Drosophila melanogaster: one gene and its partners. The protein of the gene in region 4 interacts with the protein of the main gene of each other region in a pairwise test. Each region holds a gene or a part of one and is shown on either strand. Other genes may lie near its edges.

The links.
Region 1: the proteins of Tsp (region 4) and RASSF8 interact in a two-hybrid assay, tested with the Drosophila melanogaster proteins (one large-scale study listed by BioGRID).
Region 2: the proteins of Tsp (region 4) and mthl8 interact in a two-hybrid assay, tested with the Drosophila melanogaster proteins (one large-scale study listed by BioGRID).
Region 3: the proteins of Tsp (region 4) and CG18539 interact in a two-hybrid assay, tested with the Drosophila melanogaster proteins (one large-scale study listed by BioGRID).

Annotation. Positions count from the first base shown.
Region 1 is NT_033777.3:25,659,787-25,666,690, reverse strand, and holds RASSF8 (Ras association domain family member 8), read right to left. Parts: upstream 4,897-6,904; 5' UTR 4,277-4,896; coding exon 4,205-4,276; exon of another isoform or gene 4,058-4,204; coding exon 3,684-4,057; intron 3,542-3,683; coding exon 2,821-3,541; intron 2,754-2,820; coding exon 2,443-2,753; intron 2,382-2,442; coding exon 2,036-2,381; 3' UTR 1,051-2,035; downstream 1-1,050. Other genes in the region: Tnks (tankyrase), read left to right, coding at 5,904-6,099.
Region 2 is NT_037436.4:20,221-27,521, reverse strand, and holds mthl8 (methuselah-like 8), read right to left. Parts: upstream 5,095-7,301; 5' UTR 5,040-5,094; intron 4,979-5,039; 5' UTR 3,330-4,978; coding exon 2,826-3,329; intron 2,771-2,825; coding exon 2,614-2,770; intron 2,434-2,613; coding exon 2,242-2,433; intron 2,182-2,241; coding exon 1,963-2,181; intron 1,904-1,962; coding exon 1,546-1,903; intron 1,493-1,545; coding exon 1,444-1,492; 3' UTR 1,214-1,443; downstream 1-1,213.
Region 3 is NT_033778.4:18,295,886-18,299,975, reverse strand, and holds CG18539 (uncharacterized protein), read right to left. Parts: upstream 1,796-4,090; 5' UTR 1,777-1,795; coding exon 1,711-1,776; intron 1,653-1,710; coding exon 1,500-1,652; intron 1,434-1,499; coding exon 1,095-1,433; 3' UTR 1,073-1,094; downstream 1-1,072. Other genes in the region: CG18540 (uncharacterized protein), read right to left, coding at 1-286, 348-500, 569-643; CG18538 (uncharacterized protein), read right to left, coding at 2,225-2,569, 2,625-2,780, 2,859-2,906; CG18537 (uncharacterized protein), read right to left, coding at 3,343-3,687, 3,751-3,903, 3,963-4,031.
Region 4 is NT_033779.5:6,705,645-6,711,411, forward strand, and holds the start of Tsp (thrombospondin), read right to left. Parts: upstream 3,443-5,767; 5' UTR 2,643-3,442; intron 1-2,642.

The DNA of each region.
Region 1 (6,904 bases), on a different chromosome or scaffold from region 4:
TTTTGACAGACGTCGGGCTTAAGTTTCACAGACGGCTTAAAGTTATTGGGGATATAAATTTATTAAAAGTATTATTTCACGCGTCTGAAAGCTGCTATAATAACTAAAATTTGTGATGCAAGAAAAAACCAAGATATAAGTTAAAAGGAAGTCATAAAGATTGGCTATACTTGTTCGCCCCGCTGAGTCTAGCAAATCGAAATGAATAATTTTAGTTGGCTCCAGTCGGAATGGTTCTATTTTTAAGCAGCCACTTGGTTCCCCAATTTATGCAAGACATTAAGCCAAACTCAAGGTTATAGGTTTGCCAAATGTACTACGAAATGGAAGTGCAATATGTGACCGGCATTAGAGGGTCCTTTTCCGAAGCATTTCTTGTCCGGCTGATTAAATTTAGCTTAATTGAGTCGGCGGCAAGGGGGGGGGGGGGTTACATCGCCCAGCGGGGGGGCTCAAGGTCAGCCGGAGACAAATCATAATTTCCGCAAAAGGTCACATTGTCTCGGCGATGCATGATCCCCAAAACAGAGAAACTGGGACTCTCATTATCGCAATCATCGCAATTGAACATCATTTGGTGTGGAAGAGGGCCATAAAAACGGAGCGCTCCTTCGTCCTTTTTGCTGGCGGGCCACTTTAACGCTCTCCCTCGACCACTTTGTCGATTGTGTCAATGCGATAGGATGCCCCCAAAAACGGACCATTCAAATGTATGCTCCTTTGCCTCTTTATTTCCTACGGGCCACTTTCACTGACCCGTTCACTGGGCGACACTTTTTGAAAATTGAAAGTAGCGCGCGCTTCGCCAGGAAGTCTGAGTCGCGAGCGAAGGATATCGACAAGGACAAAAGGACCAAACGCGTTCGAGCACAGCGGCCAACTGAAGCTGGTGGCAGCATGTGTTGCTGATTTTGTTTTTCCCTCCGCACAAGAAAAGCGGCCGAGCAGCTAGCTTCGTGTGGCACAGGACTTCGGGCTGACCGTTGATTTCATTTGCGGAAAATTCGTGGTGTTTCAAAAGACCAAAACCAAATGTAAATACAGACAGTTCGTTTCGAGAAAATCATAAAAATGTATTTATTAGCTAATTAGATGTAATGCAATTACAATTTGTTCTAAATCGTTTTTAGTTTAAATGTAATAGTAATATATAATATTCGATAAATTGCATTTCCGTTGGTGTTTTGTAGTTCACTATCATCATCAGTTTGTGTAAATATTAAATATTGCTAATTAAAAACATAATACATCAAAGCGACTTGTGGGTTGTCTTTTAATTGTACGCTAGCAATTATGTATGTACTAATGCTTGATACCTTTGCAATTGTTAATGCTTCGGTCTTTTGTTTCGATATCCGGTGGCTAAGGCTAAGCACTTTAAAAGTTAAACTTTTCAACAAAGCATTGCTAATTTGTTTTTTTAAAGCTGCGCTAATTGCTAAGTACAATAAGTTTTGTGTAATTCGAATTGTGAATTCTACAATGAATAATTCTGTAGGAGACAAATCACTAAGGGCACTACTTATTCGTTAGAAAGGCGTTTTTAAATTACGATACTCTCGAATTATTGCAACAATTAAAATTCATTGTCAAGTTAACAACTAATGGCGAATTGTAGAGATTGGAAAGGGTTTTTGTTAACACGTAGACTAGCAGCAAAAATTAACCAAAAGTATAGCACACAAAATTAAGATTAGGGCATGTGAATATGGGACTCATTAACTACTATTAAATACAAAGTACAGTGCGGAATGTAGAGTAATAAAACGATTGTGATTTCAAATTTGTAACATATATCATTGCATTGAGAGATCCATAGAGTGTGATTGGAATGTAAACATACTAAAACAACAATCAAGCACGTTAATTATTGTAAATATTTTTAGAATATTGTTTAAAATTGTGATATTCATAAGGAATCCATTTCGTTTCAACTCCATTATGCATTCAAGATATGTTGATCAATTTGTTCCCAAAAACATTATTTTGTTGGAGGAGAAATACGTTTAGAAAAATAGTTCTGGGTATGTGTGACTTAAACCCACACACCATGAGGATTTTTACTGGTTGGAACCGCCGTTTCAAGTTGCCTGGGCGAACCGATGATCCGCCGGCTGCTGCCCTGCTTGTTGGGTCCTTCCAATAGATGCTTGATCTCCTCCGTGGTGGTCACAGTCAGGCTCTGCAAATTCACCTCCTTCATCTCGTTGACCAGCTGCTCCACCTGCCGCTTCTTGTCCGCGATGGCATGCTCGATCATGAGTAGTTCCTTCTTTAAACTATCTGCAGTTTTGTTTGAAGTGTCAGTGTTGTGCAGAGCCTGGTCGATTTCACTCTGAATGCGCTCCATTTCCATCAAGAAGTCTCGCTCCACAGTTTGCCTGAAACAACCAAGAAGTGTGAAAAACTTAAAACAAAGCAAGTAAATTGCTATGCACTCACCTATTGGTCTGCTGTTGATGTTGCTGCTCCAGCTCAATGTCATCCATCAGCAAGCGCATTTTGTTCTTGCATTGTAGCAGCTCTGTTTCGCAATTGGCCAGCTTGGATCGCAGTAGAGCTATTTCTGATTTCAAAGTCTTCTCTTGCTGCTTGACCAATTCGTTTTCCTCTTCCACATACTGCAGAGTCTGGAGCTGTTCGCTTCCTTGCCGAAAGATTTGATCCGCCTTGGAAATCTCACGCGAAATAGCATCCAACTCGTGGGCGTGGTCGCGTTCTTTGCTCTCCAAATAAACTATTTCCGTATCGAACTAAGCAGATAAAACAAAAATAAAATAATAACATTCCAAATCAATTTAGAAACTTGAATATTTGTACCTTTTGCAATTCCATTTGCTGGGCTGTGATCTTCTCCCGCTGAAACTTGATGAGCTGCAGCAAATCGTTATACTGCGTGGTCTGGAACATGGGCTCACCCTCCTCCATGGCCTGGCTATTATTGTTGATGCTATTAGTGTTGTGGCTGCTATGCTGATCGTAGTCGCTGAGAAACGGATTCGTCGAGGAGGAGGCATTGGACATGGTGTCCGCATTGCTGCTGGCCAAACGCTGCCCCTGGCACATGGGGCTGTTTCTCGGGGGTGGCGGGTCACGATATGGTGGTGGGACTAGAGCTCCATTCGCGGAAATCGTCGGCGTTTGCTTGTACAGCTCCGGTGAGTTGTTATTGTTATTAACAATATTGTTATTATTGTTGTAGTACATTTCGTTGGGACTGGAGCGTCGGAGTTCATTGCTGGATTTGCTCAGCTGGCTGTATATATGCTGATTACTGCTGCTGTTATTGTTGTAGAAGTCATTGTAGCCATTTGTAGGTGCGGGTGGATTGCTACCCGTGCTGGTCATGTCCAGCGGATTGGACAGCGATTTCTCATGCTTTGGCACCAGTGGTGCTACATTATTGTTATCCTGCGGTGTCAGCTGCTCCTGTGGTGGACTCGCCGGTGCTCCCATGGCCGTTTGTTGTGACTGCAATTGCTGCTGCTGCGGAATTCCCTTGACGATTCCAATGTTGTCAAACTGCTTGGCATCGTGGCCCCTGAAAGAGACAAGTTTTGTCAGTTGATGGTAGCCGCACAGGTGCATATTTAAACACAGTTTGTTAGCCTATTAACAATTAGGGCTAGGTAAGCGCTTTAAGGGGTAGTTTCCAAACTAACTAGCATATAAAAACCACCCACCCGAAACTTTTTTTCAATTCCTTTGTGCGGTAGCTGAGTTCGACGTTCGACTTTTGCTTTAGCAAAGTGGGCGCTGGCTTATTATTGTTATTGTTGTTCGGCCCCAGCGGCTTTTTTGTTGTTGTCATCACAGCATAGTTGTTATTATTATTATTGTTCTGCTGCTGCTGTTGTTGTTGCTGCTGCTGCTGCTGTGTTTTGTTTTCCGAACGTTGTAATATAAACTGCACATCATTTGCATACTCGCCCCATTTGAGCAGCAGCTTCATTGGATTCTCATTGGGGGCCAGGTGGCGTTCGTTATTGCGCCACCTTTCGATTAAAGTGAATCTGCCCACTTTTCCAGTGGCATGGGCCAAAGCAAAAACCACATCCTGTGGAAAATAAAACGATAATTAGGGCAAACTGACTAGCAAACAGAGCGCATACAGTTCGGGTCACATTAACAGCACTGCAGCAGTGTAAAATGCTTTAACAAGATAATAGTGCTATTATTTTGACCTCTGCTGTAGCTCACATACCTGACATGTGGTGTTCACTGTAACGCCGCAAACTATCCGCTGGATGCCCTCGACCCAAACTTTCAGCTCCATTCCGGCTAATTGTCGTCGAGTCGAGTCTCTAAAGATCGGCCAATTATTTTCGTTTCTTGGTGTTTCTGCTACCAGAAAATTGCTTTCTTGTGCCGCTCCAGCTGGAAATGGGGTTCTACTAATGGTTTTTGGCGCTTGACTGGCGTTCTGCTGTCGCGCAGCCAGCGAAGCGTGTTAGCTGCACTCCGCCTTTCCACTTTTCCGTCTGCTTTTCCCCAACCCCACTTTTCCTCGCCTGTTTTTCTTTTTTGCTTAATTTTCCGATCACAGTTTCTGCTTCTTCTTCACTTGCACTTATTCACAGCAACAACAACAACACGACTGGTTCCATACGCTTGCATGAGTGTTTGCTGGGCGTGCGGGTATGCGCGCGTGTGTGTGTGAGCTAGAAAAATTCTGATTCACTTTTCGGATTTCCGATTTGGTGATTACTTTTGTACTTCCGGCGCGGTAACTCCGTGGTTCTTCACTTTCTAGTAAGCACGATAATCTTGTTGTGAAGCAGCTCCACTGCTTTTGTTTTGATTTCACGGATTTTTAACGGATTTAATCTAAATTTTAAAAGCAAACATTGTTGTTGGCATGGGCATCCAGTCGATGCCAAAAATCGATTGCACCAACAGCCAACCAGGGATGGCCAAACAGGTGTTTTTCAAGCTATCGATAGCAATGCCAATTGGGATTGCATGTTGTTGTAACAGGTACTTGCTATTATTTTAAAAAATTTTTTTGAGATTTTTTCCCTAGTAATAGGCTTATGTGCTTATATTAGGATAATTGAAATTCCTACATGGCCTTTTCTAATTTAAGAATTCTAATTTAAGCTCATAAAAATGATGATCTTAATTTTTGTACCACCAATTGAATATTGTCTATTTGGTTAACAAAAAAAATTGTTTCTTATAACACAATATAGATGCAAACGTCTTTTCGCTTTTCACCAAATAGTGAGTGCACACTGAAGCACAAATTTGTGTAAAACCTTGTGAGAACATAAGCTATTAAATTTAAAAAATATAATTAATGGAAAAGCTTATGTGATTCGAGGACTTCAGTATTTTTTCAGAATGGCTTGCCCCGTCGCCTGGTCACACCGCTTGACTCAACCTGGAATATTCGACCACCCCGCGAACGGTCACTCTTACTCGGTCACAAAACAATGCAATATTTCGCGGAGCAGTGAATTAATCCGGAAATAATCGTCCGTGCCCAGAGCTTTGGAGGCCAAGTACCAGGGAGCTAGTCCCAGAGTTGGTCGCAGTCTCAGTAAAAACGAATCGTAGCCAACCGCGATCCTTGCAACCGTGCTGTGTCGAACCAAAGAAATCCTATTGATTTTGGGTCTGCAATTGTGCATTAAATATTAAGCAAAAACGAGGGCTGGTCGCGTGGCAGCCAGTGGCAAATTGTTGCTCCTGCGGCATAGGCAGGACACCTGGATACAGGATGCGGGCAAGCCAGCGACGGACAACGGCGAGGCTTGTGTAGGACGGGCAGAGCAACTGCTGGAGGAGAGAACTGGACTGGGAGTGGAAAACCCGAAAGCCCACTGAATATTGCGCTTGTTTTTTGTTGCCTATTTTTTTCGGGGCGTGTGTGTGCCAAAGCGTAGCAAACAAGCACAACAATGGCCAACAGCAGCCGAAGTCGGGCCATTTTGAGCGTTAATCTCGATGCGGTCATGGCCAACGATCCGCTGAGGGAGCTCTTCGAGGCCTGCAAAACGGGCGAGATCGCCAAGGTGAAGAAGCTAATAACGCCTCAGACCGTGAACGCCAGGGATACGGCGGGACGCAAATCCACACCATTGCATTTCGCAGCGGGTAAGTGAGATGCGATGCGGTTAGATCCCATCCAAATCCCTTCCAAGGACGGTCTAAAAACGGCAGCCCACCCCACCATTCGCCCAACGAAAGGTTGAAGGACTCGCCCAAACCCCCCGCTGCAGTGCGGATTTGGCCTTGAGCTAGTTGCGCCTGGGTGTGACGGGCGTCATTGTCGTCGCTCTCGGTCGGACACTCGCCTGCTCCAATGGCGTCGAGAGTTGACCTAGTTTCCATGTCGCTTCTGCTTTTGGCTCTGCCTCCTCTTCTGCTTCTGCTTCTCCTTCCACCACCGTTCTATGTGTTCTATATGTTTGGCTTGTTTCCGGAAGACCCCCTCTCAAAAGGGGAATCCCCCGTGCTGCCCCTTTTGCCGCTGCATGTGTGCGTGCGTGCTGCATTTAAGCATTTTCTATTTTCAAAAAAGACTCATACAGCTGCGGTCGAGATAATAGCACTGCATAATTAGCCATTTCAATGAGAGCTTTCACTGTCTCAGCACTGGAAATTGAATGTTTAACACACATATATCATCTGATTAGCTTTGTTTGTTTACACGTAGAATCCCATAGATAAAGGTCTGCAACATATGGTCTGATTGTATAGCTAACCTGTTTCGCAGGGTTTAGTTAGATGCTTGGCCTTTAAATATTAGATTGGGTAAACAAAATAACTCGTGCTAACATATTTATTTTATTTACATTTTTCAACTGTGAGTGATCAAATGATTAATCCTTCGTAATACAAGCATGCATGTTTTTTAACTATTATTTCGACTGCTATTGTGTCTGTTTTTGTGGGGGTG
Region 2 (7,301 bases), on a different chromosome or scaffold from region 4:
CTTTAGTAGGAAGTGAGTTTATAAGGAGGTGGAGGAACTATTCATTGGAGGGACCGAAAAGTGATCGGATGTTCCTCTAAGTGGAAGAGTTTTCAATGTTCTATAAGAGTGTTTTGTGTTGAATATTTAAAAGTTCATTTTCTTTTATTCATAAAAAAAAGATCTAAACCTTTAACTCTGTGTAATAGAAGTCGATTCCACTTCTGATAGTGCGAGTCAAATTAACTTTAATGTGTCCCAAACTAAATGTCTGCAAATGTTAGTCAATGATTTCCCATATCGATATTGCCTATGCGATCTACCGGGCGCGGTCAATATAGGCTTTTTCACTTTTTCATACGTATCTAACCAAAACAGAACACTCGCACACATGCAGTCGAAAAACGCGCCAAACATGTCCTACCTCTCGGGATTTTCCAGTGCGCACGTCTGGATTGTGATGGTGTTGTCGATGCAGTTTGGGGCCTGTTTGTGCCATGTTATTTCCAGCTTCCATTACTACGAGCATTTTTACTACGTTTTATCGATCCATCTGCTTTCCTTGTCTATCTCTATATTCTTAGACCTCTCTTAGTGTGTACCCCGAGTCCTGCTGCTGTACGCCCAGCCAAAAAGAGCAGGACCAAAACCCGAAGCATAATCGGCATGAAAATGAATTGGGGACTCCGACCCGGGTGGGTTTTCTGCGATTAGGCCTTGGCAAGGGGGTGTACAGGGGGAAAGTTTGCGAAGCCTTTTCAAAAGAGCACCACCAACATTCCACTTGATTCCTTGCTCTTGACAGCCCCCTGTCGGGATGCAGTTCTCGTGGCTCTGACCAACTTTCTCTCTCTCTCTCTCTGTCTGTTTTGCGGCCATTGACCTCTGATGTTAAATAAAATCGGCGCACATTTATAATATAGAGAGATCGGGGAAGTAACACCGGGCTTGGCGATGCGGATAGGGTACAGTAAAATCGGGACTTGAAATAAGACTGGAGAAACTTGATCACGGTCCAGGAATTTGGAACTCAAGAAAGGTGAAGGATAAATTGTTGGAGGCGTAAACTCAAGAAAACTGCTCAAATTGTTTAGAATATTAATATGTTATGTGTTCTTTCACATGGCTTAAGTATATTCCATGTTTTGTTCTATACTGAAAGGATTGTTGGGACTTGTTATCATATTTAACAATTGTAGAAATTCCAGACCTGATTTTTTTTTCAGATATATTTATTTTTTGTATCTTTATTATCGTAATTTCGTTTAAAGGGTAGAAGTGTACTTTTTTGTTCGAGTTCAAATTTTACAAATATATTTTACACACATCCTACAAAATTTTACATTTAAAATACATGGTTTTTGTCTATGCTGATAAGTGATTTTAAAAACATTGCACAGATATTGTCGATACACTCAACTGCTTCCAGTTACACTAACGCTACAGTGGGCACAACAAGAAAAGTTAACCAAAACTCGAGAGCGGAACTGAGTTTTCACAGGTATCTTCGCCACTGCAACAGTATATATTAACAGTAGTACTTAAAATTCATAGTTATCAACTTACTTATCTATGCGCCGCAGAAAATTTTGGATTTGCTGATTCTTTCCAATCAGCGCATAGAGGGCCGCAAACCCGTGGAAGGCCATGCAGAAGCTTACAGCGTAGTTAAGGTGGGATCTGTTCTCCCAGTAGTAGTTAAAGGCAAAGGAGCATATGCAAACGACCCATACGACTGCCGTGTAGCCAAAGTACTTCCAAAATGATTTGAATCGGTTCTTCTCTATGGACTCGAAGCTCTTCTCCGTCTCGATATCTGGCTGATCACGGATGTAGATCTGGCTCAGGACATAGAAGAAACCGCTAATGGCGCAAGCCACGAAAACAGGAGCGTAAAAATATATCATAACGGACCAATTGCGTGCTAGCGATGTGGAATACCAATTAATTATTATAAAACATATATGGATTGGCAGTGCTTACGATCAAACCAGCATGTATCGCCTCCGAAGATGAGCCTAGAGCCGTAATAACTGAAACCCACAAAGAAAGACCAGCCCACGGCTACCAGTACGATGGGAGTAAATATTAGCCAAAACATCAGTTTTGTGAAGACAACGCCATAAAAGCTCAAGTACAGCTTAAATGCAATAAAGCTCAGAATGTAAAAGGAAAGCACCAAGTTCATCAACGCCAAACTTGCTAAAAAAAAAAAAGAAGGGAATGTTTAAATATCACAGAATACTCAAATTTACCACTTACGTAGAATACGACAAGCCGCATTTGAGAGATTTGCTGGGTTGTGGAGCGTGAGATAAGCCAGTAGGGCATATCCCAAGATCATACAAATGGCGTACGCCTTTATGGCCACACCGTAGAAACTGTTGCGCATTTCCGAACACATAAGGTAGACCATCAGCACGATAAACATTGATAGAATAGCTATCAAGAGACCTGGAAAGTGAATACGCTGGGTAAATTAAATTCTGACTATCAAACTATTAATGCTATCATCGATTGTTTTTTGGTGCTTTAGCAATTACTTTTATGTATTGTTGTGAAAACAGTATTGTGCATATTTGGGATAATGAATTGCTGAAAGTTGCTGGAAAAATGTTTCCTCTTGCTACTTACATATGGCGTATGTCCACTCCCGCACCCCCAAGACGAAATATAGTTTTTCTGGTGCACAGGCCAATGGCTGCCACTCCCAGGTGGAGTTCCCATGGAGCAGCGGAGTGAAGCAGTAATGCTTAGAAAATATGTGTCCTCGGTGGCTGATGGTTCCGTTCTGAAAAGGCGATGTAAAGCCATTAATGTGATGGAAGGTTTATTTCACAACCGACCTCATGAAGTGTCCAGTGAACGTATTCCGAGCCCTTGGTTACGGCTTTCATGTGCTCACATGGTGTTTCCACGTGGATGCTAAAACGGGGTTGCAGTTTCACTAGACGCAGACTGCCGTTGCCCAACTCCACCTCCATATGGCTATGGGAGGGAAGGCTGGACACCCCGGCCACAGGGACTAAGCACTGCCTCTTCTCCAGGTCGTAGATTTCTCCCCGTAAACAGCAAATCCGTACACAGGGTTTGGTCTTACAGACACAGGCTCTGAGATGCCTGCTTGCGGGGATGCGGATGCCATTTTCGATGACAAAGTCGTACACGGCTACGAAGTGACGGGGAATCACCGTCCAGTTGTGCACAAATGGGCCATCTAAGCCGTAGCTCCCCGTTATGTTTGCCGTATCGATAAAGGCACACGGATAATGTGTCTCTTCATGGAATCCCCACGAGCAGTGTGTTCCAGAAAGAATGAGGAGGACTCCAAGAATGCAGAACTGCGCCATTTGAGAGACTTTCTCAACTGACGATTTTTGTATTTTGCTCCGAAAACCGATTTGTTTACGCTTGAACGTCCAATTTATGCTTGTTTACCTTCAGACAATTTCCAAACGAAAATCGAATCGTATCGAAATGTAGGGTGTAAGAAATTAAACAAAATAGACTATATAGACACCGAATAGTAAAGCACTGATGACGTCACTGGGTGCATGAAGTTAATTGAGTGATCGGATCATTATCTTCTCCTAGCACGGTCCAAACTTGGACTGTGAACGAAATCCAAATCCCAGCGAACTCAATCGAAGGTAGTGTGTAGTGCTCTACTGAGGCACGGCACAACGCAACCCACTTTGCGAGAAACTTGCGGATATTGTTTACAACAACCAAAGTAAAAGTCCGAAAACTAACAGATCGATCAGGAAATGCCCTACTCCAGCAGCTGTGTTCACGAATTTAAAATCTGGATCCCCAACTGTATATCCCGGATTAATTTCGAAATTAAGCGTATGGTAAAAGTACACTATTTTTGTGTTTTAGAAAGCTCAGATTATACAAGTAAACATTGTCGATAGTTTTCGTTCCTAATCTTTCTGCAGCGTCTTACAAGTAAAACGTTCTTATCGGCATATTTTCTTCTCAACAAAAAGTGCCATTTTGTTTGGCGTCTTTTAAAAAATTCGTTTTATAGTGTCCTTTGGCAGAGGGTTTTCGCATTTTATAATAACGAGGTACAAGAGGAAAGGTAAGAGATACAGTCACAGATTTGATTTAAAAATCAGGAAAACCAGATAAGCAGGTACTGATGATGACTAATCCATTGCCATTTAAAATTATAATGTAAATCGCCCTGTCTGCATGACTTGACAGGATTATGTTATTTTTTGCCTTAGTCGGGCCAAGTTGCGGTCGCAAGCGGATTTTAACGGGTTTCAGTTGGCCACTTTTTGACTTTAAATGTCTCTTTAATGGTTCCCGAGATGTCGGCTTGTTTGTAAATCATTTAACAGCTCAGCTGCATCTACAGGTTTCCCCTTCCAGAAATTTTGAAATTCTTTACGCAGACTTTCCACAACAAGGTCGTCAAGGGTGCCATGCGGTAAAAGTTAGCGGGGCTGAACACCAAGTAGATAAACTTCCGCAACAGGCTGCGGGGGAGAGGATTTCTGTGCGTCAAAGCTAGGCACAAAGGCCACAACATTGGGATCGAACTGGGATTGGTTTTCAACTGGGATTGGTTTTCCACCTGTTCCACTCCAAAATCACTGTTGTCCTCGCTGTACACGTGCCCGTCTTCCTGACGGAGATACTAGATTCATCACGCGATTCCATCTGCTGCTGTTGATATTGCTCGGCCAACTGGTATGACTCCTTGCCTGCAGGACGACTATCTCATTCGTTGAAGTAGTAGACTTTAAATTGGTGAAGACCTGATTATCTTTGATCACTTTATTGTGGTCTTCTTCCTAAACCAGATTGAAGCCACCGGTAGTTTAATGCTGGTGGACTAGATTTGGAGCAGTTTTCCTCAGAGCGTCTTCAAGATGTGATGCTCTTTTGCGCATCCGAAAATCTGTGCACTTTCGGAAAGTCCGTACTGCACGTAGTGGTGCAATTGACCGGTGTCTTTATGGTGTTCCATACCTGTGGGATTTATCTGAAATATTGTATACGTAAAAGAACGTTAATTTGTGGTCCCTACTGATTTGTACACTTACACCAACGTATTAACTCTTGCTGCATAAAAGGCTTGTGTTTTCGGTTAACTCTGATGGCTCTTTGTTGTGAATTGCTTGCCAACCGATTCTGATGAAATACCGACAGCAGACCGTTCATAAATATACCAAATTTTATGTTTTTAGTATATGTCAAATATCAGCCGTCCGATAATTCGATAATTTTCAATAAACCTAATTATACAACTGTCAGTATTTCTTGACGAACGGTCTGTCCTCAGTATTTTTACACAACCCAGATATGGTAACTGTTTGTTTTACGCACTCTTAGCGCAAAGAGCTATCTAGATTTAATGAATACTGATTTGTAAACTTACACCAACGTATTAACTCTTGCTGCAACATTGTTGATTTGTGTTTTCGGTTTGCTCTGATAGCTCTTCGTTGTGAATTGCTTGCCAACCGATTCTGCTGAAATTCCGAAAGCAGACCGTTCATAAATTTACCAAGTTTTATGTTTTTGTAGTATATTTCAAATATAAGCCGTCCTAAAATTCAATTAATTTTTAAATTAACCTAATTATACAATAACTGTCAGTATTTCTTGACGAACGGTCTGTCATCAGTATTTTTACACAAACCAGATATGGTAACTTTGTTATACGCACTCCTAGCGTAAAGGGTTATACTAGTGTCAATGAAATGTATGTAACTGGTAGAAGGAAGCGTTTCCGAACTTATAAAGTATATATATTTCTGATCAGGATCAATTGTCGAGTCGATCTGGCCATGTTCGTCCGTCTGTCGGTATAAAGATTAGATCTTAGGAACCCGTCTTTTGAAAAATGTTTTGATATTTTTTTATATATTTTTTTAGTCTTGCAAACTTCTATCGGCTAGCCAAAAATTGTTTGGGCAGGCCCACTCAGACGCACACAAACCACACAAAACTGTTATGCCCACACTTTTGAACAATATTTAAATTAATTTTTATTGTATTATTTTTTCCCCATTTCTACCAATATTCCTAAAAAATATTTAAATTTCTCTTTTACGCTTCTAACTGATTAACTGGTACCTGGAGTCAGGAGCTCGACTACTGCATTCTCTCTTGTTTTCCCTGTGGATGTGAGCGAAAGTCAATCTTCAAGCAATTAAAATATGTTACACGTCTGGTGGGAGTAAGATAGAAAAATTTCAATAGAATAGAAATGGCAGGAAATTTAAAAAAATATTGAACTTTTTTATAAAAGTATTGGTAGGAGCGGAATTGCTTCAGACATTTCAATAGATATTCACAACTTAATTAAAAAAAAAAAAAAACAAAAATATATTAGCTAATACCCTAATACATATATGTACCTAAATACAAAATTTAGTTCATAATACGAAAAATTTATTTATATTCAAAATTTTCTATTTGTTAAAAATAAAGATTTTGGGAACGGTTGCATTGTTACGGAAAAGGTTAAAGTTTATAATATAAGCATAGTTTATTTTGTTCGATTTTTTGCAAGTAATTTTTGATATAGTCTATTCATGATCTGTAACCGCAGTTAAAATGTACCAAGATTAGCGTACAAGTTTTTTATATTATAAAATAGGAAAAGGAATCGATTTGTTTCCACAGATTTACGAGAAGAAACAACATAAAAATGCTATATTCGAGTTCCCCAAATATCAGAAACCCGTTCGTGTGAACGAAATTTCATCATTTTTCTGGGATATCGAAAGATACTGGCAATAAAATAAGAAAAAATTTAACGATTGTTAGAAAGTGTGGGCGTAACCGGTTCGGCTGCTTTAGGGCGCTAGAGTGGGCGTGGAAAAAAGTTTTTTGGCAAGTCGATAGAAATCTACACGACTACTAAAATTATATTAAAATATTGAAAAATGGTTCAAAAATGTGGGCGTAGCTGTTTTGGGCTGTTATTTATTAAATTTTGAAAAAATATCGAAGAATGGTTAAAAAATGTGGGCATGGCAAATTTTTTTTTGAAGAGTGATAGAAATTTACAAAGTTAATAAAATGTGAAAAAAATAGGAAAAATGGTTTAAAAATGTGGGCATGGCAGTTTTGTGCGGTTTGTGGACGTTAGAATGGGCGTGACAACATGGGTCACCAAACTTGCACTGCGTCCTTGTCTCTAGAATCTATATGCTGCTTAATCTCAACCTTCTTGATTTTATAGTTCTTGAGATCTCGACGTTCATACGAACAGACGGACATGGCTAGATCGCCTCGGCTTTTGATTATGATCAAAAATATATATACTTTATATAGTCGGAGACATTTCATACTGT
Region 3 (4,090 bases), on a different chromosome or scaffold from region 4:
GGGCGGTGATGACGGCTTCGCCTTTATAGAAGCCATCTGCCAAAATATCCGGCAATCCTTGGCCGTTCAGAGCGCAGCGGGTGAAATTGTAGGTCGCCTTGGGCCAGGGTGGTACAAATTCATTTTCATAGACGGGCAAATCGGTGCAATTGCCCAGATTCGGCAACAACAGGTCCTTGTAAAAGGTATTGACATATTCGGTGAATTTCTGCGGTTGAATGGACATGGGAGTCAGTTTGTAATCGGACTCGTCACCGGAGTAACTGCTCAGAATACGCATCTCGACCTAAAAGCAGTATTTGATTTTTAAGTGCTTTTGAATCAATGATATTTGGTACAGAAATTACCATCACGCTATCGTCCACATCAATATTCCAGAAGAATGTGCCTGAAAACCCGAATTCCGACCTTGAAATGCGCTCAATTCGCAGATTCATGTCCATGGCACTGGGATTTGTGGTGGTGCCACCAATCGACAATGGCGTTGCCTCCCAGTTGGGCTGGAAACAATAAACCATATTTAAAAAAAAATAAAGAAATATTTAGGAATATTTCTTTCTTAGCATACCTTTGCCGCACAACCATTGTAAAGGTTTGCAAAAATACACACTGATAAAAGCGATGAAATGCAAAACGAAATCATTTCTGGTTAAATTGACAATATAAGTTGCAACCTACTTGCTTTTATAGTCTGTCAATTTAGATTTATCTTTTAAAAACATTTGTGACACGAAAACATTGTGTACAATTGTGCACATTGTTAGATTATTGAAGTTGGAATAGGTGTAAATCATGTCAAGCTTATCTAAATTTACTGATCGTCACGGTATCACCCATCCAAATTTAGCAAATTACACAAATACACAACGCGCAAGTCATGCTTGCATTGGCTAAAAAAATTTTCTTTCATATTTGGATATGCAGAAGTTGATAATGTAGACGATAAATTCGTTGTAAATAAAATACAAAAATATAAATTTTATAAATATTAATTTAATACAATTTAATATAAATTCATTTTACACAACATAGTACAATTTGTTAAGTAGAAAAAAAAATGTTTGAACTTCTTAAGAGCCGCATATAATATAATATTAAATAACCTTTGGCGAGACCTTAACAATCAGGGTGAAACCCCAATCCACCTGTCCTGTCATTTTATACTCTAGCTTGTAGAAACCCTCTGGTGCAATATCTGGCAGTCCCTCGCCACTGGCCACACATTTGTCCAACTTGTAAACATTTCGTGGCCATGGTGGCACAAAATCGCCATCGAACTGCACCATATTGGAGCAATGGCCCACATTCTTGATGAACGCGTCCTTGTAGAAACCGTTTAGATATTCGAAAAATGGCTGTTTAGGAATGGACCAGGGCATCATTTTGTAATCGTCTTCGTCACCCGATGAGCAGTGATGAACGTCTGCCTCCACCTGTCCAGCGATTAATAACCATTTTCTTAATTAATAGAAACTTGATATTAAAATCAATATCTCAACCATAGTGTCCTTATCCACATCGTAGTTCCAGTCCAGTGTCATGGAAAATGCATAATCGCTGCGCCCAAGTCGATCAATTTTTGTGGTGATCTTCAAGAGACTCTCATCTGAGCTATAGGATGTCAATGATAAGGGCTCATACTCCCAGTTACGCTGTGGAATGAGCACAGAAATTATAAGTATCCTATTTTGTTAGAATATCCTGGCATACTCCTGCTTTGCAGCCATCGATCAGCAGCGTAGCGAGCAAAAATAGCAACGAACAACACGAAATCATTTAGCCAGACTTTAAACTTCATCAACTTGCAATTTAGTTGCATTTATATAGCAAACTGCAGTGGATTGCATGTATTAATTATATAACTCCCTGTTACATTTTGGGCTAACCATGTCAAACAAGACTGCATGCCAAAAACATGAAAAAATGTGTGGACTTTGAATATTAAATATGAATTTTGTTTATTGGTTGGTCTTTAGCTACAATTGAGCAAACTTACAAATGTATATTAAGTATTTGAGAAATGTGAATTTTTTTACACAATAACTGAAAATTCTCTTCCACTAGTAATTGTTACTGATCTTGAATTTTTCTTGAATATTTCTTACCTCCTTCAAGGACACTCATTTCTTATCGAAACAGCTAAAATATTTCAAATTTTTACCATTGATTTTATTAAACATAAGCGCAGTTAAAAAAAAAATGTGTTTATCTAAGATAATGGTTTTTACATTAATTTGGGTGTGATTTTAAAAACTGACGTAGTGTTCCATGTGGGTTGACCTGGTCCATAGCATTTGATCACAATCAGATAAAAACCGGCAGGAACAATTTCTGGCAACCCATCGCCATCGATCACGCATTTGTTGCCAAAATAGGTCTGCTTTGGCAATGGCGGTTGGAATTTACCCTCGAATTGCGGAATATTGGAACAGTGCTTAAAGTTCTTCATCGAAACATCCTTGTAATAGGTGTTCAGATGTTCGTATAGCGATTGCTTGGGAATGGCCCAAGGAAGCAGCTTGTAGTCGCTGACATCTCCCGTCGAGCTTCGAAGGACATTGGCCTCGACCTACGGAAAAATCACAATCCTTATTCAAAGGACTAACTTATCAAGTAAGACACACGTACCATGGTTTCATCAGTCGTATCGTAGTTCCACTCAACCTTGGCGTCAATCCAAACACTCCGCGATTGATTCGCTCAATTTTCATATCTAATTTTATTAAACTCTCATCGGATGAGTGGGTTTCGATGGATATGGGTTCGTAGTCCCATTTCCGCTGGATAATTCTTTAAATTATTACAAGATATATGGAAGATATGAACTGTGAACCTACCGCCGTTTGGCATTCACCTACGAGCAGGAGTGCCATACAAAGTTCAGCAATAAAACACCGGACAGACATAATTACAATATGAAACTAAGTATTGGGAAATCGGGCTTTATGCTTATATAGCCATGTCCATTGATAAAAAAAAATGTGCACATTGTCACGGCATTTTATCACACTATTGCAGATCTTTCCCACAGTACCTAAATGTATATGATTATATAACTATTTACAGCCATTAAATACGAATAGTCCATTGAAACACTTAAACTTCGCATAACTTTTTTATATAAGTATGTGCTTATTGTAACTGATATATTTAGTTTCTGATTTTGGAAATGTTTTTATTTCTGTTTTTTATTGTTTATGTTCTATTACATCATTGTATTACATTTATCTATGTACGAAGATACGAGTTCAAATTCAGAAAAACACGTGTATAAGCTCGCTTTAAAGGATTTAAAAAAATATTTGGCCGTATTTTATTTGATATATATTTATTGCTACATAGCTAAAACATTTTGTTTATTATTTTAAAAATTCCGATAAAGCTCCACGATGGCTGATCAGGTCCGGTACAATTGAAAATAATCTTGTAGAATCCAGGTGGCACGATATCCGGAAAACCTTCGGCTTCAAAGACGCATTTGTCACCGATATACGTTCGTTTCGGCCAAGGCGGTTGAAATTTGCCCTTGAACTGCGGCACATTGGAACAGGGGGCAAAGTTCTTCATTATCACATCCTTGTAGTAGGAGTTGAGGTAGTCGTAAAAGGTTTGCTTAGGAATGGCCCAAGGGAGCAGCTTGTAGTCGGACTCATCACCCGAATTGCTGCGGTATACAACAGCCTCCACCTATATATATAAAAAAAAAAGTATGTTGTTATGCAAGGAATACCGTTTAAGGAATTTTCCCACCATTGTCTCCTCAGTGGTGTCATAGTTCCACTCCACCCGCGCTGATATTCCAAACTTTCCACGCCCTAAGCGAACAATACTGGACTCTAATTTTATTAGACTGTCGTCCGAAGAGGTGGTTAATATCAATACAGGTTCGTACTCCCATTTCCGCTAAAAAAAAAAAATATATATTGGTAAAGATAGTTCATCAGTTTAAATACTGAACTAACCGCTGCTCCGCATCTACTGATTAGCCAAACTGCCAACAATATTAAGACTGACGAATAGCCGGAATCCATTTGGCCAATATGAAACTGGGTAAGAATGCTCTGTGACTTGTGTTTATATAGCCTGTTTA
Region 4 (5,767 bases):
GCCTGATAAATTGGTTTCATCATAATGGACTTTGTGTAACTTCCGGCGCAGTCCAAGCATTTTTTTGAACGTTGTTTTGGAAGTGTCAAGATTAGGATTGGATTCAATGTGGAGTTCAATAGTCTCGGACGGCACTTGACGTCGTCATTTTATTGATTTCTGTATTTGTATCGATTTGAATTTAGGCCCGGTCTTTTTGTCGTCGTTTTCCCATTCAATTTTTGACTATTTATATTCGACAAAAATGCAGTAGTTGACAGCTGAAAATGTGGCTTTTCAGGTGTTATATGGAGTCCTATTTCAAAATATTGAAAGGTCTGTCAATTATAAGTCGGGTGATTGAGATTTCTGGTATGGTAATTGCCACCTGCCAAGTTGCTCAATCGCAACAGCAGAGTACATAAAAATGATTGAAATTGTAGGTGTAAAAACGCATAAATCACAATTTAAAGACCCGTAAGAATGGTATTATTATAATCTCTGTAATCTTGAATCTTTAATCTTGCGTTGAGCTAAACATGCATGATGACTACTTTTTGATGTAAGCATAGCCAGCAGCTAGAAACTGTCTCAAATCGTATTATATTGCCATCAATTAAATTTATACAGCGGCTATATAATTAAATGTTTATTTTTACCAGGTGTTTGTTGGACCGCACCTTGCTATCAGTGGTCGTCTTTAAATAATTTGCATATCTTCGCAAAATATCTAAGGAAAATAATATGCGTGATAGATGCTACTATTCTTGCCCGGATAAAAGTATACATTTCGGCGCAATTTTCGTTGGCAATCTTGTCAAATCGCTTGAGAATGTGTTTAATCTGTCATTAGGCCAAAACCGAAAACCCATTAACTTATGTTGATGAACCATTAAGGCAAAGTCGCGTCTCCATTCGACTTGAATTGGTTTTGAAGCCCGCAGTCCAAACGGCCAACACAAATAGCCTTAGCTGCTATTGTGACTTTGCTCCATTTGAATTGCAAATTCCGACTGAAGTCAATACAAAGCATTAAAATTTGTTAGCCTGATTTGCCGCAGAAGGTTCGGATATTGGTGTCCAAATGACTTTCCACTGACGATGCGCTAATTTGCTGGTGCAACAATTTTCCACTTAATTTGCATTTGTTTATGAACTCATAACTCGCTGCCAAGCGGAAATTCCATAACTAACAATGGCAATATTATTTATGTTTTAATAATGTCAAACTCGAGCTCCAAATATGGCCAGCAAGATATTACCATGTCTGAAGAGTCATCTCTGTGTGGAGCGCCAAGGGGTGTCAATGTTTGGACAGAGAATAAGAAAACACCAAGCTCCATATTTGAATAATTATTCAGTGAATTTCTGTCACATCTCATTGCAAAACTGAACAGATCGATCTTATTTGTCCGCTCTATTGAAGGGAAAGTATCTATCTATTGTATAGATACATCGATACAACGAAGTCATAGGCCTAGCTAAAAGTATCTCCCAACTATTGGTTACTACATCTTCAAGATTAATACCCCTTCGGGTCACAACGCCACTGCCGCTAAATAATATATTCAAATAATAAAATAACCGCAAGTCTGAAATGTCTCTCGAACAGGCAGTTATAAATTGTTATGGGGATCTTTGCAGTGGGCGTCTTTTAATTGAATCGCTTGGAATTGAGTAGCAGAGCCCAGTAGAAGCTGCAAAGTGATTGGGAAATCGAGCCAAATAAAATTAAGTATTTTAACCGTTGTTGGGGAATGTGACCAGCTTCATTTGGTCAACATCATTAGCAATCTGTGGCTGCCGTTTCGAATCACAATTCATATTTGTTGGAGGGGAAAATATTCTGTGCTCTGACCTTATATGATCCACATAATTATAGTTCTCGCAAAGGCATAAACCTCAATCTGATCTGCTTTAAATACGTGTGGAAAGTCCGGTAATTAATAAATTATGACTCGACTGCGGTATTTATGGCGCCAATGCAGATAAGATCTCCCCAGATCCCCCATAGATTAATGTCGCTCGAATGGTGAGGATGCCACAGGCCGATTTTGCCGCCAGATTGCGGTTGACTTGGGTGTGGCTAATTAATATGTATCGATAGTATTTGAATTACAACAACAATTAGCTTGATTTATCATCAGATATAAAATGGCGGTGAAATGAATAGAAATCTTGTGAGGCGCTCATAAAAAATATTCATAGATTGGCCTATCAACAACTTGGTGATTATCATGCAATAAAGTCGAATGAAAAGGAGTTAAACTGCTGTGGGTGTGCAGCTAGAAGATGCGATTCTTTAGTCTACAGTCTGTTAAGATTGAAAACAAGAAATTAGCATTTAGCTATTAATAACTTTCTAAATGAATGATATTAATAAACATAGACCCAAGTCGTGATTACTTCCGTATATCTTTCGTTTATCTTTACGATCCTGAGAATATGTTAAAAATGAGATGATGCATCATTATTAACGCAACTTCTTTAAGAACAACTTAATATGCTCTAGTACCTTCCAGGCACTTGAATATGGAATGCACTTCGCACCTGGCCACTTGGCGCACTCATTTTCCGAGTGAGCGGAGTGTAGCCCAGATTTTGGCCACACGAATAAGCAGCATATGTAGAAGCCCGGAGGTCTGGCCCACCTTCACACTCACCTCGTGGTCAAGGACGCTGCTCTTGCTCTAGAGGTGCCCCCACTGCGGATGTGGATGTGATCCAAGTGATCCACTTGGCGGGACGGAACTGACAGCTCCTTGTTGTTTGTGCGGCTCGTTTGCGCCACTTGCGGCTGTCAACGCGCAATTTAGAATGGAAACGACCTGAGTTATTTTTACGAGTATTGCCACACTTTTCCGCCGCTTTTTCCTGGACGCCCGCACAGACACTTTTATTATGTTGTACTTTTGCAGAGCGAAAGATCAAACACGTCGCAAGGGTATCTTCACACTAAAAGAATCGATAACGAAACGGATGCATTAGACCATTTAAACCCTTTTCGAAATACGCGCCAGGTAGAAAAGCTGGATTTTGGAATGGGGACACACGCGAAGATTTCGTGGAGTCGATTTTATGGAATCGCGGTGGAGAACACGCGACGCCAATGCCTACAATCCTCCAGCAACGACAACTGCTCCGCAACTGACTCGCCCGTTCGTGCCAATAAAAATTAAAACACTTTTATGCTATTAAGGCGAACGCGACGCGATCTTGGACACCTTGGATGCAGAGGATGCTGCTTGAGGATCGATCGGATTTAAAAATATGGGCAAAAAACTTTGTACAGCGCGGGCTGATTTCAAAAGCACACTTAGGAAGCGTTTGAAAACTGAAACATTCTCGCGATAGTTCGATCGATTGATGCTACTGATTTATCGCCAAAACTAATCACTGATCACTTATCGAAGCACCTAGGACACGCACCGTCTTGTTCAACGTTCCAACGCGAACTGAAACTGAAAATTTGAAAATGCAAAGGGAATGATCGACGCGCAGCGTCGACTGAGGCAGCGGCAGCGCTGTTGGCTGGAGCAACTTGGAGCAGCGACAACTTGTTGTTGCCTTTCTGCGTTTCTGTTTTGTTCTCAGCTGTTGTTGTTGCTCTTGGGAGAAACGCGGCATTTTGTCTTCGTTTGTGTTTCTTTTGATTTGACGCGTGAGTAAGCCGCGACGCCCACGTGCAAAATTTGCGTAAACATCGACAGTGTGGCCAGATCGCTGCTGAATAATTGAGGAAGTGAGTGGAAAAAGTGGTAGTCAACTTTCAGATCTCATATCTTCCGCTTCCTTAGTAAAAAATAAAATTTTATAATGGGTAATCTTCTTTAAAATATAGGAAATTTAAAATTTATTTTCTATATAGAAAATGTTATTTTAAATATTCTGTAACGATCAGCGCAGTTTTCGTTTGTGCGCTTTAAGTTGCAATTATGTAATATATTGTTTAAAACTGCTGTGTAATTTGTAAGAATAAATATTTTGGTTAAAAGTCGCTCTCTGTGATTATATTTATGGGTAATTACTTATTGTCTTCAGTTCATTAGTTTATCCACCAATTATTATGGTGGAGTCGCCCACTTGGGCTGCCCCAATTGTAGATCGTTTGGGCCATTAAACTGAAACTCAATCCCGAAACATGCTTACATTGTAGGCCCGTTTAAGGCCATTAAATCGGATTCGTGCGAACCCTTTTCCGATAATGCGTCCATCCTTGTTTTCGACCACCACCTCCAAATCCAAAGGAACTCGGTGGATGGGGCCAGACTTTTGCTCTTTTGAAATGGAGATCGTAAATAAACGGCACGCTCTGCAGGCATTCAAAACAGACGAACTACTCGTTAAAACCAGAGCCCAAAATGATATGCATATGGCACCTATTAATGGCTACTTATGCAGTACAAGTGTCCCCCATTTCGGAACTCCCTCCACTCCTATTTGCCGTTGACACGGGACTGATGCGTAACACGACAGTAGCATCGGGATCCAAGGGAAAGGGAAGTTGAATGAATGGCCCGACCTGTTCGTCATTATGTCGCCGGCATGTCAGCGGACAGTTGGAGGAGGGCATTATGCAGATGTGCATTTATCACGGAGTTGCGGTGCTGCGGACACACCCGAGATGCTATCCCACATCAACGCTGCATATTTTGCCGCTTTTCGGACAGCGGCGACCACTTGCTGAAATTTCATTATGTGCGTGATTTATAAATAAGCCTCGCTGGCCCCACGCCCCATTCCACACACTCCTCGTCCGAATCCTCCTCGAGTTGTTCCCAGCATCTTCAGTGGTTACGAGCTAAGACGTCCCACGCACTTTTCGACGCCGCAACAGCAACATCAAGTCTGATCTCCTCCGAAATGCCCCACCTTTACCCCACCACCTCGCACTGCAGTTCAGTGCGTATTAATCATAAAATTGTATTATTAACATGTTTATTTTTCGGTCTTCAAGATTCGATTACACGCATTCTTCCTGCTCTTCGTGTGCAGCGCTTTCTGGAGTGTTTTTTTTTCCTCAGCGAACGTGACTTTGTTGTGCAGTGTAACGAAAGTGAGCTACTTTCTAACACTCTTAGGGGGGTTTGGGATTATCATCAGCCTTCAATTGCTCTAGGAAATATTGTCATTTTACGACTTCGCCGGTTAATTGGGTTACGTGGCTTTGGCCACTGATGCCGACCAGGCCAGATGCCTTGCACCTGGAAATAGTGTGGGAGTTGGCAAGACATGGTTTGATTGGAGTGAAGTTGGTCAAGCTTCCGGCTTAATGATTCAAAGGAGAGTGTTTAATGGCAGTTGATAAATATGCATATCTAAGTGCAAATATTTACCTAAAGGTGTTACCATAGCTCTCCATTCACCCTACAAACTAAAAGCAAGTGCTTATCACTTAATTTCCAACTCAGCCCCTTTTTTTTTGGGCCAATACAATATAATTAAAAGTAGTTAAAGGTCAATTCACCAGCTTATCGGGGAAGTAAAACTGGTTTGCTCGCATATCAATTCAAAAATATTGAATAAATATTTAAGGGCCCGTCGGTGAGTGTATAATTAACGTGGAGGGCTTAAGCCATAAAACTAGTGATTAACGCCAAGTTAACAACAAAAAAATAAACCGGCATTGCGGGCTCTTCGCAAACAAAACTCAGCATGTTTTCTATAATTTTCAAGATCCATTTATTCAATTTCGTTTATAATTATTTGTTATGAATAAATTATTTTAAATTAAGCAATAATCCGACTAACTAGAGTATATCTAACAGTAAGCGGCATTACATCTTAA